Rattus norvegicus: one gene and its partners. The protein of the gene in region 2 interacts with the protein of the main gene of each other region in a pairwise test. Links are inferred from orthologs where the notes say so. Each region holds a gene or a part of one and is shown on either strand. Other genes may lie near its edges. The genes, in order: Mad1l1, Tpm3, Kxd1 and Ikbip.

Region 1 (5,128 bases), on a different chromosome or scaffold from region 2:
CCTGTCAACTGATTGCTTGGTCCACCTCTTGACCCATGGATGACTTTATTTAAACCTGTCTACGATAATCAGAAAGCTCTTGGATTAAAGATGTGTGCTAGAGCTGAGCCATACCACAACTAGAAACAGGTTTTTTCCAGTAAATAACACAGTGTGATCAAATATCCTGCATCAGAGAAGATATTCCCAAGAAAAGAAGCCCAAGAAGTGAGAAGAGTCTGGATAGAAATGTCCACTCCCGGGGCTGGGGATTTAGCTCAGTGGTAGAGTGCTTACCTAGGAAGCGCAAGGCCCTGGGTTCAGTCCCCAGCTCCTAAAAAAAAGAACTACAAAAAAAAAAAAAAAGAAAGAAAAGAAATGTTCACTCCCACCCCAGCAGGGGAGAGGACAAGGCTGGGCCTGCATGAAAGGTGCCTAATAGCCAGAAGAGGCAACAACAGCTCACCCCGGGCTTTCTGAAAGAATAGCCAGGGGACAGAGAAGAGCTCTTTTCAGATCGGTGACTGGGATGGACCAGGGAAGGAGGAGATTTAGGTACTGATTCGGATCACACAGGGGCTGTACTGGCAGGAGTGTTGCACTCCCATGGGCATGGAGTCCAAGCAAAGGGAGAACAGGGCTCTTACAAGAGACCTGGGTAAGGACAACCAGCAGTATCCCACTGTCAGACTGAAGCCAGGAGCTAGAAAAATGAAAAACTGGAGAGAATGCAGACAACCTCTTATACCAAGATTCTCGAGTGGCAAGCAGTGACAGATGGCATCTAGTCAGGCAGAGAGAACTAAGCCCTGTAAGGCCAGAGGACATGGCTGCAACTTTGTGGCCCTGGCTGGATGCTCTTCTCCATTTGGGATAATGGAATCACTGTGGGATGTCTGTAACTTTAATGTCTGTGAGTTACCTGGTGTAGGGCTGGGGAAACAGCTTAGTGGTTAAAGATGCTTCCCATGAAGCCTATGGACCTGTGTTTGAGCCCCATGACCCACAAGGAGGAGGAAAGAGCTGATCCCACACTGTGACACCTGACACCCTGGAATTCAGACACGAGCACCTTTTTAAGAATGGGGTCTATAGAGTACCCTCACAACAAAAGCAGAAAGATCCAGGACTAGGCAACATTTTAGCCTTTAACTCACTCTCGGTGCTCCTCCAAACGACTGCCTGGTCCCCCTAGAACAGACACTAGGGCAGGTCTAGAATATTCTGATAAGTCTGAATAAGTAGACCCTTAATGCAATGAGAACAAAACAGACTTGCCAGCAACGGACAATATTGCCCTGGAAGTCACGATGGTGATGGGGGCAGAAGACCCTCTTCAGTCTTCTATCAAGCCAAGTAATCACATAACCTTTCTTTAGGGGGTCACCTGAGCTGTCCTAGTACTTCCAATTAGAGTCAGCCCATGGGATAGTGAGTGAACCAATGGATTGTGGTCCCTGTCCTTAGTGTGGAAGGAATCTGCATGTGCCTCTGTAGCTGTCTAAACTCCTTCACAATCTTCTCAGGACAGAATGGAGAGACTGCCATATATGTCATGCCAGGTGAGACTGAAGGACCAGGTAAGGTGTTGGCATTCCTTGCAGTGGGGGAGAGGGTCAGTGGCAAAGAAGCCCAAGCATTTCTCAATTGGAGAAAGGTCCTGAAGAAAAAAGGAATGTATATGAGGGCTGAGGCAAGATCACATGTTGCAGGCCAGCCTGGGTTACACAGAGACCTAAGAATACAGCTAGACCCAATCTCAAAAGGGCCGGGGGAGGGTTACTTTGCAGAAATTTCTTCTGAATTTTTCACTTAACAAGAACCTTAGTGTACACCCCAAATACACACACAACAAAGCAAGAGCTGGTCACCAGATGGAGAACAGACGCAGTGGGAAGAAGTAGACCTCTGTTCTCAAAGATCGAAGGAAAAGTCACACTTTCTGTCCTCCCTCTCCAGGACAAGAACTCAGCCACAGACACAAGAACCATTTCAGAAGCCACACAGGTAACTAAATCGTCACCTCAAACTGTACCCTCTCTACAGGAACCCTGAACTTCCAGGCAACAGACCTTCCAGAACACCAGCTGCCCTGGATGGCTTCTGACTTAACAGGTATGCACACACCTTCTTTCTGGTCTCAGCCAAGGCACAGCCTAAAAACCTGGCAATTGGTGACACAGGCTTGTCATCCCAGGTACTCAGAAGGCTGAGACAAATTCAAAGGCTGGTTGCAAGTTCAAGGCCAGCCTGGAACACTTGGGAAGTCCCGTCACAGAATAAAAATTAAGAGGAAAAAGTAAGAATCGGGCTGAGGAGGCAGCAGAGTCGGTAACTGCTTAGCATGCATGAAGCCCTAGGCTCAATCCTATGAACTGCGGGGGAAGAAGGGGGCCCAAAAAACAGCTCAATCTGCAATGCACTTTAGGGCTAGACAGACAAGCAAGGTTCCATCTCTAGGATCCATACAGAGGAAGAAGAGAACTAAGTTAACCTCCCTCCACCGGTAGCCTGGTATACACCGGCAAACACACACACAATTAATTAATTAATTAATTTGCTAATTAATTAATTAGCCCGTCCATTTATTTTTAAAAGAGCTGTGGACATAGTTCAGTGGTAGAGTGCATAAGGTCCTAGGTCAATCAACAGTACTGCCAAAATCAGGCAGACAGACAGACTGACAGACAGGCAGGCAGGCAGACAGACACACACACACAGCCAATCAATTAACTTTTAAAAGGGATGGGGACATAGTTTAGTGATGGAGTGCATAAGGTCCGAGGTTCAATCAACAGTACTGCCAAAAACAGGCACACACATACACACAGAGAGACAGAAAGAGACACAGAGAGAGACGAGAGACAGAGAGACAGAGAGACAGAGACAGAGAGGGCTTGACATACGACTCAGCGCTTACGAGGGCTTGCCACCAAGACTGTCAATCTGAGTTCGATCCCTGGGATCTACAAGGTAACTGACTCCAACCCCGGGAGCCCTTCAGCCCACAGCAGACCACTCGGTCCCCTCCGCCCCGGTTCCGGTCCAGGCACGCCTACCCGCGCCCTGCAACGGGACACGGGGGTCCACAGCGGCCCCGGGAGCACGACACGGAAGACCCCGCAAAGGGAAGTCGCGCGACAGGATCGACTCGGACTGTGTGCATGCCGGAAGGCAGCGGACAGCTCCTTCCCATGGCGTCGGTACGGTCGGGCAGCGCGCGCAGCGCCTGGGGAACTCGCAGACCCGACCACTCGGCCACTTACCCGAGTTGAGGAGCCGAGTGCTGCAGCAGCGGCTCAGATCTCCCTCCTCTCCGCCGGTGCCTATGTATCGCGAGACTTCCGCGAGGGTCTCGCGAGATCTGAGAAAACGGCCCGTAAAGAATCAAATATGCGCGCCACAGGCGTGTCCTGAGAACAACTGCTGTCCTGCCAAGGGGCTGGAAACCACACTGAGCCAGGGTGCCTGTCCCTCAGGGCGCTCTTCGAACGCCACCCAGTGCGCCGTAATGTGTGGAGTAGCACTGCTTGGGAGGGAACGTTTGTTTTGCTTTTGTGTCAGTGTTTCTCTGTGTAGCCTCTAACTCACAAAGATCTTCCTAGTGCTGGATGGAATTAAAAGGCTTGCACCACAACTGCTGGGCATGGAAAGTAAACATAGCTTTGGAAAGTTGATTTTTCTCTGAATCTTGCCACTGTGTATGTATACACAGGTTGTTTTGTTTGGGGCGGTGTTTTGATTGGTTAGCTTGTTTCATTTTCTTTCCTTTGTAAATGAGAATTCCTGGGAAGAAATTGTGACTGTAAAGGCGGATTGGCTGGTTGCCTTCGGTAACGTTGCCGGTCCAGAGCCTGTTGTAATTTGTCTTGGGCTCTATCTTTAACCCCCGTCATACCCATTGCTTACCCGCCTCTGTGTCAGCTCTAACGTGTTGTGACTTATGGATAAAAACCTCTTGGAATACATTAAAACCCAGTTTCTACCAACCAAAAGCCCACGAACTGCATGAGAAGCATATAGCTGCTATTTCTCTGCTTTGCTATAACTGCCTACTTAAATCTTCCACTAGTCTATTTGTTTTCATGTTTTATTATTTTATGGGTGTTTTGTGTGCATACATGATGCCCATAGAGACCAGATGAGGACAACAGATCCTCTGAAATGGGAGTTAGATGTCTATGCGCCAAGATGTATGCGCTGAGCATTGAATCTGGGGTCTCTCGAAGAGCAACCAATGATCTTAACCCGAGCCATTTCTCCGCCCCACCACCAAGAAAGATTTTGTTTGCTTTGGTTTTTGTTGTTGTTTGTTTCGTTTTGTTTTGATTTGTCTGGTTTGGGTTTTTAAAGGCAGGGTTTCTCTGTGTGCCTCAAGGCTGCCTCCACCTGCCTTTGCACCCCACCCCCAACTGCTGAGAATAAAGTAATGCGCCGCCTGTCCCCCACCAATGTATTTTTAAAGTGCCTTGATTCATGACTTTCTTTATTCTGTTACTATAAAAATTTCCTCACTGCTTCCAGACTGGAACATGGAATTTGGGGTAACTTAATTTTAAGTCTGTGTTTCTGGGACATTTGGCTCAAGAATAAACGACCTGTCCATCTCGGTGGTAGTGGCACATGTGTCTAATCCCAGCACTCTGGAGGCAGAGGCAGGAGTTTCTCTGTGAGTTCAAGGCCAGCCTGGACTACAAAGGAAGTTCCAGGACACCCAGAGCTACACAGAGAAACTCTACCTGGAAAAACCAAAAAGTAAAAACATTGGGCTGGAGAGATGGCTAAACCGTGAAGAGCATTGACTGCTCTCCCAGAGGTCCTGAGTTCAATTTCCCACAACTACATGGTGGCTCACAACTATGTGTAATCTGTCTGTAATGTGTCTGGTGTGTCTGAAGACAGCAACGGTTTCCTCATTATATATAAAATAATAAATCTTTCAAAAATAAATAAACACAAAAGATTCTTGCATCCGTTTTGAGATGAATGTTGTATTTTGGGGTCAAGCTGAGAAACAGAATCTTACCCTGTACCCCAGGTTGGCCTGGACCTCACAGCAACCCATCAGCCTTCTGAGTGTCCTGAAACAGCCCTGCTCCTCAACTGGCCCTTTGGTTATCAGACTATTGAAGCAAAGGGCCGAGGGCTG
Region 2 (5,212 bases):
CTGCCACACTGGGGTTTCCCTTTTTAGATAGAAGTCACAGGTGTAACTCACAGTAGAGACAGTACTAGAGAAACCAGGCCTGTGGGGAAGAAAGGACTGCTGTGCCCTGTGTTCACACATGCACACCCACTGTGTTCACACAAGCCAGGGAACTTTCCTCAGGAAATTTTACCAAGGGGGAGGGAGGCTGGGGATTGGAGCTATCCGCCCCTCAGAGTCAACAGAGGTGGAGTCTAGGCAGAGGCACTTAAGAGCAAAGGGCTGTTTGCCTCTCCTGGAGGAGTGTGCTCTAAAATAGGGGGCAGAGAAAGGCAACCAGCAGCCAAACCAACCCAAACCTCTAACAGGAGGAGAGGTCACAGTGCTCATGTGTCCACCAGACACACACACCCAAGCATCCTGGGCCCCTTCCCAGACCAAGAATTTAGGATCAAAGTTAGGAACTTCTGTTCAACGCCCACTCTCCTCTCGGTGGTACTTCGGTTTTGGAGCACAACCAAAGGAAAAGTCAAAAATACCATAGAAAACGTGGAGAGAGAGAGAACTAGTTTTTAAAGGGTAAGATGAACCACTCACTTAAAAATGCTAACAATGGGGCCAGAGAGATGGCTCAGAAGGTAGAGCTGCTCTTTGTAGACTTTGGCTCCCACTTTGCCTGGGGGGGGGGGGGGGAGGTGCATCCACAACTACCTGCAACTCCAGCTCAAGGGGGTCAGACACCCACACACACATATATGAATAAAATTAGTAATAAGAAAGGTCACAGTGGAGACACAGGCACGGCAGTTGAACACGGGAGGAGACTATTCCAGAGGCAATGCAGAAGGCTCACTTGAGTCCAACAGTTGAAGGGCCAGCCTGTGCAGGTAAGTTCTCATGTTATACATGCATCTTTTTATCACTAACAATAAGCGCATTGAATTTTACACTGTTACCTGTTGAAGTTTCGACAAGACAGTGTAGTCGAGAGGTTGAGAAAGTTTGTCTTAACATAAGGCCCTAGGTCTGATCCCAACACCACTTAAGACCCAAAACAAGAAAACACTCTTATCAAACACAAAGGAAATTCAAAACTGAAAGTAAACCTTCACGGGGAGCTATGTTATAAAAGGCCTGGCTGCCCTCAGAACTTGCCGCCCAGCTTTGGCCATGTCTAGTTTAACAAAGGCAGCTTGGATCCCCATACAGAGTGCAACAAGACAGTCTATACTAATACGACATAGGATTTCCACCAGGTAGTGTGGCAGGAGGACCCTACAAAACCCACATTCCACAGCAGCCCTACAAGAAAGAGGTGACTCAAGCATCTCCCTTCCTCCTCTGACTCTTCAGTAGAGGCTCAAAGTTCGAGAGTGCAAAAAGTCAAAAGCTCACAAAGAAGATACTAGTTTCATCAATATTTAACTACCACCCTACTTCCCCATTCTGAGGACTTCCTCAGGAGGCTTCTGTGAAATAAGCACATTTGGTAAGCCCTGAACATGTGAAAACACTCAGGTGGCTTATCATCCCAGAGTCATCACGCAGAAGAAAGGAACGCCAAATGTACCTGCAAGGAAAATGACCAAACTCTGGGACAGAGAGACACACCCTAAAACTACTCCAGGGTACCTACATTTAGACATCAGCCTAACACCGCTGCACCCGGCTAATTCCTTCCACTGTACTCTCTTTTCTTTTCTGGAGACTTCCTCATCTCTACAGCAATCTCACTAGACTTGATAAGGAGAAGTTACAGGCATGCCAGGAGTGGCCAAGCAAGCCTACAGTAATTCCCAAAGTAATTCCAGCACTTGAGAAGCTTAGGCAGGAGGATTGCTGGGAATACAAAGAGACATCCTGTCTCAAAACAGTCGTACTGGACACCTAGGGTGATGTGAAGACAAGCTCTGTCATCTCTATGCCCATTATAAAGAATTTTTATAACGTTTAAACATTAACTTGGAAGGGAGCTGTGCTCTCCTTTTCCACACTTACCCCTTTTGCCCCCTCAAAAATATCGTTACTCCTCAAATGAACAGCAGAAAGGCAGAGAGAAAGAGAGAGAAAGAGAAAGAGGGAGAAAGAGAGAGAGAGAGAGAGAGAAAGCAAGAGCAATAAAGAACGCCAGTAAACCACAAGAGTTCTTTTTCATTAGGTCTTAAGCAGGAATCCATTCATACCACTAACACAGTTGAACAAAACCCACTAGATAGCTAAGAAAACAGCTTCCCCCGAAATCACCAGTGCCACTCACTAATCTGTTCCCATCCTCCAATGTTCCAATCAGTCAGGAACCTTGAAACTGGCGTGGCATTTGACTCTCTGCTATACACTCCCTTATCAGCCAGCTTAGGAGAAATGTTCTAAGTCAAATTTGTACTGCTCACATTTCTGGCAGAAGTTCCTGCCTTCCAGGTCATGATGGGCAGGGCCTACTAGGTTTGCTGGCTCCGACATTTGCTAACAACGTGGGGAGTACCATCTCCTCTCCCACTTCACAAGTGAGGGGCGGGAATGCCAGTTAGTTATAAAAGGTCCCCAAGTTCGAGGATGGGAGGTCTTAAGCTCCGCCAGTGAGGGAGGGAACCGCGCTTCCTCTCAGCCAACTGCTGGCTCATTTCCTGAGCAGGAGGAGGGAGCGGAAAAGCTGCCAGTAGGCCAGGTCGGGGGCTTTCCGGCGGTTCCCACCTCCCACCCTCATTTTTCACAGGTTAGGCTCGGCCCCCTCCCGGACCAGAGAAGCACTCACTAACTTCTACCCCTCAGACCGGAAACCTCTAGCGAGAGTAAAAGGTCCCCACCCTTCTCAGAGAAGTGGGGGAGGGAAAGACCGCTGAGCCCCTCCCCTGGCCGCGCCCGGCTCCGAGGGACTGAATGAATGAGCTGGGGGAAAAAGGGAGAGGGCAGCCCGCGCCGCGCGGAGCTCGATTTTTTCCAGGGTCTATCTAGCCTGCTCGCGCAAGCACTTAGTTTCCTCCGCAGCCGCTTACCGGGCCATCGTAATCGAGTCCCACCCAACCTTCGGGCTCCACGACCAGTCAGGGCTTCCAGGGCTCCATGGAGCTGAGCACAGCAGAGTGCTGATCCCTTCCCTGCTACGCCCCGACTCTCCGTGCTTACCTGCTCCCGGGCCCGCCTTTCTCCCTCCACTTCCCGCTGGAGGCGCTCGGCCCTCTCCTCCGCATCATCAGCCTGCTGCTGCAGAACCTGGATCTTGCGCTTTACCGCCTCGATGGTGGTGCTCCCGGCCATGGTGCCTACCCAGCTGCTTCTGGAAATCAGGTTCCTACCTCCTCCGCTCGGCGTTGTAGCCGCTTTTCACCCTACTTCCGCCTGCTCCGCCCTGAAATACCGGAACTCACTCACCCGCCCGGATGTGACGCCGCCACCACCGCGCGTCCTCCCCCTGCCAAGCAGGCGGGAACGCAGTCCACTCGAGGGGCAGCGGGCAGAAAGTGAGGGGTGGAGCCTCCCAGTAACCCTAGGCGACCACTCAGGGCGGTCTTTCCTTAGACCAGTAAAGGGGGGCGGGGTTTGGTAAGGCTACCATAGTAACTGAGAGGCGCTTCATAGTCTAGCCTCACCCACCAGGCTACCTCCCAACAATGGCTGTCCCATTTACTAGAATGGTGCTGTCGTGATCACTTACGCAGGTGACCCCTCTCTTATCCAGTGCCTCCCTACCACTATGTCCGCTCCGCAATATAAAGTATCCCATATGCTTTCCTTTCTACTCAGTTTACAACAGACTCCAAAACAAGGTTCTGAGACAAGCCTAGAAGACTCTAGCCTTCATCTTGCAAGGAGTCGCAGTGAGCTCCTTTGAAAACCTATTAGGAGGGGCTGTGGATATTGCTCAGATTGTAGATCACTAGCCCAGCATCACTAGCTCTGGGCTGGATCTCCAGGAGCACTTAAACTGTCATAGTGGAGGGTGGACACAGAAAGAGCAGAAATCCAAGGTCATCCTTGGCTACATGGTGAATTCAAGACTAGTCTGAGCTACATAAAACTCTGTCTCAAAACAACCCCAAAAACTGTTGAGACAGTTCTCTCCCATTCCCTGCAAGTCGATACCAGAACTACCAGATGGAAAAGATTGGCAAGTTGGCATTCTATTAGGATCAGCTCTGAACTGAGGTGTTTTGTTTGAATAGTAGTTTTGTCCCCTGAAGCTTTTAAGAGAGTCCATAGGAATGAGCAGTTAACCTGCCACCACCCCCTTTTACCCTTAAAATGATTTTGGACTTGGAATTTAATATTCATGTACAACTCCTTTTGTAGACAAGATATTTACACTTCTATCATCATATCCTTGGTGCGACAGAAAGATATAAGTATATGGAAAACTACTGTGGAATTTAACCTCTGAATTGTAGTAACTTCCACTAGTTTCACTTTGGCTTTCAGGTACTCCAAGGAGCTATTATATGAGTTCAAAACTACTTCTACAGGTCCTATTGGTCAGGATTTCTGGAGGCACAACTATAACGAGGTTTATTTTGTTTTCCCTTTGCTTCTCTAGGTTTTTTTTTTTTTTTTTTTGATTCATTCATTTATGTATGAGTGAGCTCTCTGTGGGTGCACCTCCATGCCAGAAGAGGGCATCAGATGACATTACAGATGGTTGTGAGCTACCCTATCTTTGCTGGAAATTGAACTCAGGACCTCTGGAAGAGCACAGACAGTGCTCTTAACCGCTGAGCCATCTCTCCAGCTCCTGCTATTCTAGTTTTTGCTTCCTTTGTTTTATATTTGGTTTTTGAGATTGTATCTGAGGTAGTCCTGACTGGCCTCCAACTCATTTTTGTAGCCCTGGTTGGTCCTAACCTTTGGACCCTTCTTTATCGACTTCCTAAGAATTGAAATTTCACGTGTGAACTCTCACATCGTACCTTTATTTCTCTGACTTTCTACCACCTTCTCAGTAATTAATCATGATAAATCCCTCCCTTGATAAACCTCTTTCCTTCCCTTGAGAAATAGGATATGAAGTAGGATTTAGAACTAAGGATATTAACTTGAGGTTGGGGATTTAGCTCTGTGGAATCTCTGGGTTCAGCAAAACACTAGTGCTCCTTGTATCTGGTTCTAGGTCTCAGGATGTTCCTTTCTTTTTGAGGGGAAAAAAAGACTCTTGAACAATGAGACTATTCAGAAAAAACAACTTGGACAAATAATAATTTCTCAGAAGTGTATCCTGTACACATTGATTACTGCCCAACTCTCC
Region 3 (4,403 bases), on a different chromosome or scaffold from region 2:
TTAAAATTTTTTTCATCTTGTCTTTTGTGTGTGTGTGTGGTTATGCACTTGTGCAGGTGCCCAAGGCTGACTCCAATTCTCTGGAGCAGGAATCAAAGGCAGCTGTGAGCTATCTGCCCTGGGTGGCGGGAACTAAACTAATGTCCTTTGCAAGAGCCATACACACTCTCAACCACTGAGGCTTCTCCACAGCCAGTGTGCCAAACTTATGTATGTGCTGAGCAGAGCCTCCTCCTCAGGCCCCTTTTTGACTTCAGGTTGGCCTTGAAGTCACCACAGAGCTGCCACTGACCTGGAAATCAAGTCCCTCCTATCTCAAGCTCTGGTACAGAATCACCACCCCCAGTTGGCTTTATTACCTTATGAACTGGCTTCTGGTTGCTCTGCCCTGAAGTCCTGCACTCCAGGCCTGACGGGCTAAAGAAGGGTCTTCAGAGAGTCAGCCCATACACTGACAGCAGCCAGTGTGGCAGTCACACAATGACTCAGCACTTGTGAGGCTCAGCACTTGACACACTGGACTCTTGTCTCCTTTCTGGGGATCTAGGACACATGCTGCTGTATTTACTCTTGGGGCTCAAAGAGCTACCTATTCCCCAAACTACATGTCGAGTCAGCCTGGCATTCGGGGCTAGAAAAACTAGCAGACAAGGGCAGCAGAGCACCTTGGTACCAGGGAGGCAGAGGCAGGTGGATCTTTGTGAGTTTCAGGACAGCAATTGAGACCTTGCCTCAAAAACAAAGCAAAACAGCACCAATAAAAACATTAAATAGACTGGTATAGAGCATCTCAAGACTTCTGGGTAGAGTTTACTTTGTTCCCTTAGGTCCCCAGGCCACACAGCCTTGGGCTAGAGGATAGGGCACACGTGTGATCTGGATCCCGTGGTCTTGGCTGTTCTGGTCTGGGCAGCTGGCTGCTGGTGTGTCTGCCACAGTGGTGGGTGAGGCTGTGGAGTACACCTGAAGGACCATGCTGAGTGCCAAAGACGTGGATATCATGGTCCAGGAGCGAGCACCACTGTGGGAAGACCCAAACCAAACCCTACCTATATCCAGGATGGACACGGGGCCCCGGTTCTCTGCTGGCCAGTCAGCCAGAAGTGGAGGGCCCGGCCTGTCTACCCGCCTCCTGACTCGTATAGGGTCCCAACTATGTAGCACAGGTTCCAAGTAAAAGGGAAAGTCACAACTGGGTGATTAAACACCCAAGCTTCAATCCCAGCATTCAGGAAGCAGAGGCAGATGGATCTCTGAGTTTAAGGCCAGCCTGGTCTACAGAGGGAGTTCCAGAACACAAAGGCTACACACAAAAAAAAGAAGGGGTGGGAAGAGATTCACTTCCATATCACTCCCTCAGAGGTCAGATCTGTCTTGTTAAACATCCATAATTCCCTAGACTGAAGAAGACAGAGGGCAGAGCTAGTGAAGAGAAGAGGAGGCCTCGGAGGGGAGGGAGAGGGGAGAGGGTGGAGCAAGGACTTAAGGGACTAAGGAGGCAGAGGTGAGCAAAGGGCCCTGGGGTAGGGTCTTGGAGGTACTAGGAAGAGCTTCAGAGTGAAGGCGCTGGACATCTAAAGAGTTGGTGACAGAAAGGGCCAAGAGTGGGGGATTGAGAACAGTGGTTTGGGGAAGATGTGCTGAGGAAGCATCTGGCTGTGAGACCACAGAAGAGCTCTGGGGGGAGGGGGCCACCTGATCCTGCGGAAGATGCTGTCCAGGTCCCGTTTCATGTCCACCAAGGTGCGGGTGTGGTGCATGAAGCGCTCGCTCATCTGCTGCAGCCGCACGCTGGACAGATTGTTGAAGTTCAGAAGCATCTCGTTGGTTTTCTCGAAGCGGTCCAGCCTAGGGGGAGAGGGCCAGGGCCTTTGCATCAGGCCTAGGAACTCCCTCAGCCTGAGCTAATCCCTGAGTCATAGCCTCTGCATTTAATTACAGAGTCAAGGCCTGAGGAATTCTGTCTGCTGTTCTGGTCGCCCAACTCCTACTCACAGTTGAAAGCCCTATTCAAAGGCACTCTTTGTTGCAGCCTACATATTTCATGGAGTTCTTTAGTGGGCATTAGTCCTCTGACAGGATGTTGCCCTGCCTGGGACCTACTCTTATGTTCTAAACTGACCTTGAACTGCCTCTAGAGAAGTACAGCAATTACAGGCGTGTGCACTATGTCCAGGCATGAAGCTGGCATTTTTGAGACAGTGTCTGTAGCCTTGACTGGCTTGGAGCTCAGGAAGGAGTTAAAGGTGTGCGCTGCCTGCCACACCAGGGCCATACTGATGTTCTATTATGTGCTCTGCCTCTGTGCCTCTGTGGAGCATGTGCATGGAGCATGTGCACACACAGCCTACGAAGGTCAGAAGGTGTGTCCCCTGGAACATGAGCTACAGTAGGGAGCTGCCATGTGGGTGCTGGGAACCCCCCTTAAGAGCAGCTAGTACTCGTAGCCACTTTACATCTCTCAGCACATGTTTTTTTCTTTTCAAGGTTTAGTTTTTTTTTTTTGGAGCTGGGGACCGAACCCAGGGCCTTGCGCTTCCTAGGTAAGCGCTCTACCACTGAGCTAAATCCCCAGCCCCCAAGGTTTAGTTTTTAAATGTTTCCCCAGACCAATATTCTGAAAATGTGTATGATATTGGGGGAGAAGGGGTGGAACATTGGGGTACACAATGAAGAGGATCTTGGGAACCCAACCTCTCCCCCCATTTCTTTCTTGGCTTCTTGGCTACAAACAGCTTCAAAAGATGGACAGAGGGTTGGGGATTTAGCTCAGTGGTAGAGCGCTTGCCTAGAAAGCGCAAGGCCCTGGGTTCGGTCCCCAGCTCCGAAAAAAAAAAAAAAGATGGACAGAAATCTAAGCCAGAAAGCCTTTCTCTGTTAGGTACCACCTCCTGCATTTTGTCACATCAATAGGAAGTTGATGTCCTTTCTCAGAATCACTCAATCCTCAAGCTGACTGCTCCTTGTTACACTGTGTAAACCCCAAGTCAGTCCCAAAGGCCAGGACAGTTCCCATTTGATTTTGTCACTGTTAGTCTGGGAGTTTTGTCACTGTTAGTCTGGGAGTTTACGTGGACATATCTGAACCTAACCTGAAGAACCAGGATAAGTCCTGGGCATGGTGGCAAAACCTAAAAACAAACAAACAAACAAACAAACCCCAACGCAACAACAAAACATAACTAAGTAAATAACCCAAGGTAAAGAACCCCACAAGACACTGCCTCTGGCTGCAGGCTGTGTCACAAACAGAGCTGGGAGCATCTACATGCTTGGCAACAGTCAATCTGAATTCAAGGTAGGCTGTCCCAGCGAGGGAGCAAAGCATCCTGAAGCAGGCTCCCTGCAGACCCAGATCGGGCACTCGGTACCAATGCCAAAAGCCAGCCCAGAAGTTCCTGAGACCCCTATCCCTTCAGCCCTCCCAGCCTTGGCCTGGGGACAGGAACTGCTTGGGCCTTTCCCACACAGCTGCAATCCGATCCTGTGCCAAGGCTGGGAACTAGGGGCTTGTTTTCTTTATTCTGTTACGTCTCTGGGCAGGGTTTGGGGAAAATGGTATGATCCTTCCCATGCCTCCCATGGCCTGCTCACATGTTCTTCTGGGCCAGAATTATGGCGTTGACGTCATCAGTGTTCACCATGCTGAGGAAGCGGCCACAGAAGACCCTTGAGGCTGAGTCTGGGGTGTCCATCTCTTTCTCCTTAACCCCTGAAGCCTGAAATGACCGGAACAGAATGTGAGCTCAGCACTAGATAGGTGAGGATATCAAGAGCCCGTCATATCCTCCAGCTGAAATCGTGGGCTGTTTGGGGGCCTGACAGAGACTTGTTCTTAGAGAACATAATCCTGGAAGGCTGTAAAGGCAGCACACTTGATTCCAGCATTTGGGAAGCTGACGCAGGAGGATGAACCAGGGCTAAAGGGTGAGCTCTTCACTCTGCCACCTTGCATAGCTCAGAGCTCTCCACAGACACAGCTGAAAATGCCGTCCCTCCTTTCACTGTCCACATGATTCTGCAAGGCTGCCAGCCACTTCTCCTGTGTGCCCTTCTAGCTTCAGGTCAGTATTTTCCATGGAACACGCCCAGGTGCTACAGTGCTCACATGATAGAGGACAACTATAGAGACTGCTTTTCCTTCCAGATACAGAGCCTAGGAGGTCAGACACCCTGGGCTAGCTACAGGTGGCCATAGACACCACACAGAACTCAGGTTCTCTTCCACTACAGCAAGTAGTCTGTGGCACCTCTGCAGGTCCGTTCTTCCACCAGCTTCCAAGGTCTGCCTGTACCTGCTCTCTACCTCACCGTCACTGAGCCCAGCTCTGTGTGTAAGTTCTAGAGACCGAATCTTGGTCCAGAAGCATGTTATTAGCTCAGTTAATGCGGCAAGCACACCC
Region 4 (4,412 bases), on a different chromosome or scaffold from region 2:
ACCAGTGTTCTCTTCCAGAGATCTGTGATGTTCTGGAATTTCTCATTAAGGTTTTGCAACTTTTGTGTGAGCATCTCTTCACTATTCTCAATGTCATGTATGGATCTTTGGAGGCCAGCTACTTCCTGTTCAAACTGGGTCATCAAAGACATGGATGATGTAGCTTCCTGCAGGGTATTTTCAGTAGACTCAAGCTGTATTTATAACACAAAACAATCCCTGAGCTACTTAATACTTTTATATTAGAGAAACATACTTCAGCAATCAAGAGCATGTCATATACAAGGTTCAAATTCTGAAGGTGCCTAAAAGATCTAAGCACATCTGAATCACATTGACAGAAACATTTATTATTAAATAGCTTAAACAAATTTAATAGATGACAGATTTATAAACCAACTGTTAGAAGAATGTATACCTGAACTCATAACCCTAGTTATTTAACAGATCTCTTTCACGAGGGCATGCATAGTCAAAATAAATGATGTCAAATTTTTTGAAGTCTATTGCAGTTCTTTTTTTCAAAACATTGAAAGTAAGTAGATGTCATTTTTATGGCTATTTGGCTTGGGAAAGTGTAACAATGTAGACTTCGCCACCTCCCTAAATCCTATGACTTTGAAAGTTTCTGGTTGAATCCTTACCACTCTTTTTGCTAACCTCTTACAGAGGAAGGACTAGAATTGGGTTGTAAAAAGGGCAAGAATGAACTTTTATAAAAATAGTTGAGACACATACCATCAAATGGCAGAACGTCTGTCTGTAAATCAGGATGTGCCTCTAGGGCCTCTTAGAACGGGCCTGGGATATTTGGAAGGGCCAGGGACTTACCTAGTTTCCATCCTCACATGATACAAGCTTTAGCGAGAACCTAGCTTAATAAGCTATGAAGTGTTTGCAGCACTGTTCTGTGACAGGACACTGAACAAGTCACAGCTCTGCCCTTCAGTGGTTTACGTAGGAAGCAATTTGCAGGCACTCGAACAAGGGGGACACATGCAAGCACTTAGCGGAGCCCTGACCTGGACTTCAGGGACCAAGTAAATTCCTTCAGAAGCACCATCTAATAATCCCGTCCTTTCTAAACCACCTTACCCACTACTTACCATATTAAGGCTTTGAAAACTGCCAAGCATGTCACGCAACACCATTAAAAAACCTGAGATGATTCCTGATACTTGTAAGACAAGTCCATAGCCTTAGTCAGGTCAGGACATCCTGCAGTTATATTATTAGTTGCTACATGTAGTTCCTTAAGTGCTCAGACCTTGTGCAAGATGCCAGTTATAAAAATACCAATTTGGGGCTGGTGAGATAATGGCTCAGCGGTTAAGAGCACTGACTGTTCTTCCTAGAGGTCCTGAGTTCAATTCCCAGCAACCACATGGTGGCTCACAACCATCTGTAATCGGATCTGATGCCCTCTTCTGGTGTGTCTAAAGACAGCTACAGTGTATTTATATATAATAAATAAATAAATAAATAAATAAATAAATAAATAAATAAATCTTTAACAATATCAACTCGATGGAGCAGAAAATGCTTTGACTCTTCTGTATCCAACACTCCAGGGTCCTGATAAGAGTTACTGCTCATCCCCGATGAGCTAGCTTCGTGTCTAGGTGTTAGAGAGACACAGAGAGAAGATGCGTGTTTGTTCCAAAGGGAAGTGTGGGGGACAACAAATTAGTAACTGGTGACATTAGTGTGATGACGGACTCAACACAGGGCACAGTGAAAGCTCAGAGGAGAGGTAAGGCAGGAGAGTAAAGTGGGGAAGCCTAATGTGACTGAAATCGCCTCAACAGATGGATTAAGGCACGGTGAGGAGCTGAGGGTCTCCATTCCTTCCGGTTTTGTTGTGGTGGCTTTTGTCCCAAAATATCAAGAGTTTCCGGAACACATTTCTTTCTTTCTTTCTTCTTCTTCTTCTTTTTTTAACATTTAGAAATCGTAAAAGTTCTGTGTATGAATGTATGTGTACCACATGTATGTAGTGCTACAGTCATCAGAACAAGGCTTGGGATCTCCTGCAACTGCAGTTAGGGATGGTAGTGAACAACCATGTGGGTACTGGGAACTGAACCTGGGTCCTCTGATAGGCGCCAGTACTCTTAACCATTGAGCCACCTTTCCAGCTCCCGGAACACACGTCTTGATGGATATGGGCAGTATCTGATGTAAGGGAGATGCAGAAAACCCCTGAGGGGATTCAGTATGCCAACTGCTTTCTGGGACCATCTGAACGAAGGATCTATCTAGTAGGCGAAACAGTGCTATCCGGGTGTTAGATGGCACGTGTATAACAGAACTAGGTAATAAAAGAAGACCACTTAGAAATGTCCAGAAGCCATTTTAATTCACGCATGCAGCCACACCACAGTTAGAAGTTCATCTAAACAGAAGTTCAGAGAAGCACTTGTAACTAACTAGTGATAGTGTTAGGTTTGGGTGAGGACTGGATGGAGCTGAATACATTCATCTTGGCAACAAGAGCTTTACCCACTACGCCATCTGGCTGGTCCCATGTTCTAACTTTATATCTAAAGATCAAGCATGCCTTCGTTGTTTTGTTTAGCCCTGGCTGGTCTGGAATTTGCTTTGTAGTCCAGGCCAGCGTTGAGCTCAGAGATTTGCCTGCCTCAGTCTACAGAGTGCTGGAATTGAAGGCGTCAATATCATGGCCAGCTGGAGCAACAACCATCCTTTCAACACTTCCTGGGAACTAACTCGGATCACAGGGAGGATGCCGAGAGGAGAAAGTCCACTTAGGAGTTAAAATAGTAATAGTTTGAAGGCAGAAGAAAGACGCTTTGACCTGAAGTAGGAGAATGGTATTCGTAGCAAGGGGAGTATCTCTACCACACAAATTAATGAATACATTACCTTGTTGGAAATTAAGCTGATTTTACTCTGGAGTCCTTGAAACTCGCTGCTCTCTGTTTGCAGTAACCGGTACTGGTTTTCGACCTTCGCAAACTTTTCTGACTGTTGAAATACAAGCCTGGAAAAGAAAAACTTCATGACTATCACTCACTCCTGGTGAGAACAATATGTAGTCCCCGGATAGCTGCGGCAGAATTAGTCAGATGACTTCACCATCCAGGTGGCCTGCTGTGTGGGAGGTGACTGCATTAGCTCAATGCAAAGATGAGTCAACACCGCCTCTCTTCAGAGCTCCTGGCTCAGGGAGGGAGGCCGAGGAGCATCCCTCACAGATGTAAGAAAAAGAAATATTTTGGAAGAATCCAGGGTTGAACTATTTGGAATAAAAACTTTGATCTCTTCTGAGGATATAGGCCAGTAGTTCAATACCCAGCATACCAAGCTATCATCGCCCAAACTATTGTCCAAACTACGGTATGAGTGCTTATAATTGTAATTATTCAGGGAGGTTCTATAGGTTCTAGGTCATGTTATCCTCCATTATCGCACAGTGAGTCGGAGGCTTGAAGGCCAACTGGAGCTGCAGGAGACTGACTCAGAAAGAAAGAGGAAGAAGAGACAGAAATACAGACAGCCATTGCCCTACGCAAAGCAGGGTGTGACAACTCTATTTGACTGTACTCAGCAGTATACTCGTAGGTATGGTGTAGATGTCATTGTGAAATGGGGGCTTAGGGTGTAGGGCGATGGCTCAGTTGATAATGCGATAGCCATGTAAGCATGAGTGTGCTCCTTAGCACCCACATAAGAAGCTAACCTTGGGGGCTGGGGATTTAGCTCAGTGGTAGAGCGCTTACCTAGGAAGCGCAAGGCCCTGGGTTCGGTCCCCAGCTCCGAAAAAAAAAGAACCAAAAAAAAAAAAAAAAAAAAAAAAAAGAAGCTAACCTTGGCTAGAGAGATGGCTCAGCGGTTAAGAGCACTGACTGCTCTTCCAGAGGTCCTGAGTTCAATTCCCAGCAACCACATGGTGGCTCACAACCATCTGTAATGGGATCTGATGCCCTCTTCTGGTGTGTCTGAAGACAGCTACAGGGTACTCACATACATAAAATAAATAAATAAATCTTTAAAGAAAAAAAATAATCTGTTGTTTTATTGAATGAGTTAGCCAGACCCCCTTATCCAATCTTCGGGATAATAAATAAACATATCTTTGGAGAAGATTTGAAATGAGTAGGCACAGAAGAAATCTTAGGTTTAATAACATGTTGTTTATCTACAGTAAGTCAGTTCTCTGGGTTCCACATGTTTTGTGCACTGAGCCATCAGAAAGCAACGGAGCAGAATCATGAGAGGTCCCTAAGTCATAGGATCCAGATTAGTGACTGCAAATCTTCCCTAAGCATTGGAACCAGTCACCAGACAGCGCTAACACATCCATGCCTGGGGTCTCAATGACAGAGACTCCTATTTAGTTAGTCATGGATATGGCTCGGATATTGGATATTCTAATAGCTTCCCAGGTC

The links.
Region 1: the proteins of Tpm3 (region 2) and Mad1l1 interact in binary tests that used the Homo sapiens proteins (3 or more experiments, as listed by UniProt). The two-hybrid records come from large-scale screens. The link is inferred for Rattus norvegicus from reciprocal best matches to the Homo sapiens genes TPM3 and MAD1L1.
Region 3: the proteins of Tpm3 (region 2) and Kxd1 interact in binary tests that used the Homo sapiens proteins (3 or more experiments, as listed by UniProt). The two-hybrid records come from large-scale screens. The link is inferred for Rattus norvegicus from reciprocal best matches to the Homo sapiens genes TPM3 and KXD1.
Region 4: the proteins of Tpm3 (region 2) and Ikbip interact in a two-hybrid assay, tested with the Homo sapiens proteins (2 studies listed by BioGRID). The two-hybrid records come from large-scale screens. The link is inferred for Rattus norvegicus from reciprocal best matches to the Homo sapiens genes TPM3 and IKBIP.

Annotation. Positions count from the first base shown.
Region 1 is NC_086030.1:19,432,943-19,438,070, reverse strand, and holds the start of Mad1l1 (mitotic spindle assembly checkpoint protein MAD1), read right to left. Parts: upstream 3,290-5,128; 5' UTR 3,246-3,289; intron 3,195-3,245; exon of another isoform or gene 3,176-3,194; coding exon of another isoform or gene 3,039-3,175; intron 1-3,038. UniProt on the Homo sapiens protein: Component of the spindle-assembly checkpoint that prevents the onset of anaphase until all chromosomes are properly aligned at the metaphase plate.
Region 2 is NC_086020.1:177,819,447-177,824,658, reverse strand, and holds the start of Tpm3 (tropomyosin alpha-3 chain), read right to left. Parts: upstream 3,295-5,212; 5' UTR 3,235-3,294; coding exon 3,103-3,234; intron 600-3,102; exon of another isoform or gene 1-599. UniProt on the Homo sapiens protein: Binds to actin filaments in muscle and non-muscle cells. Plays a central role, in association with the troponin complex, in the calcium dependent regulation of vertebrate striated muscle contraction.
Region 3 is NC_086034.1:18,943,245-18,947,647, reverse strand, and holds part of Kxd1 (kxDL motif-containing protein 1), read right to left. Parts: intron 3,720-4,403; coding exon of another isoform or gene 3,696-3,719; coding exon 3,595-3,695; intron 1,849-3,594; coding exon 1,696-1,848; intron 1,022-1,695; coding exon of another isoform or gene 811-1,021; exon of another isoform or gene 782-810; intron 544-781; coding exon of another isoform or gene 486-543; exon of another isoform or gene 360-485; intron 1-359.
Region 4 is NC_086025.1:27,473,370-27,477,781, reverse strand, and holds part of Ikbip (inhibitor of nuclear factor kappa-B kinase-interacting protein), read right to left. Parts: intron 3,005-4,412; coding exon 2,887-3,004; intron 195-2,886; coding exon 1-194. UniProt on the Homo sapiens protein: Target of p53/TP53 with pro-apoptotic function.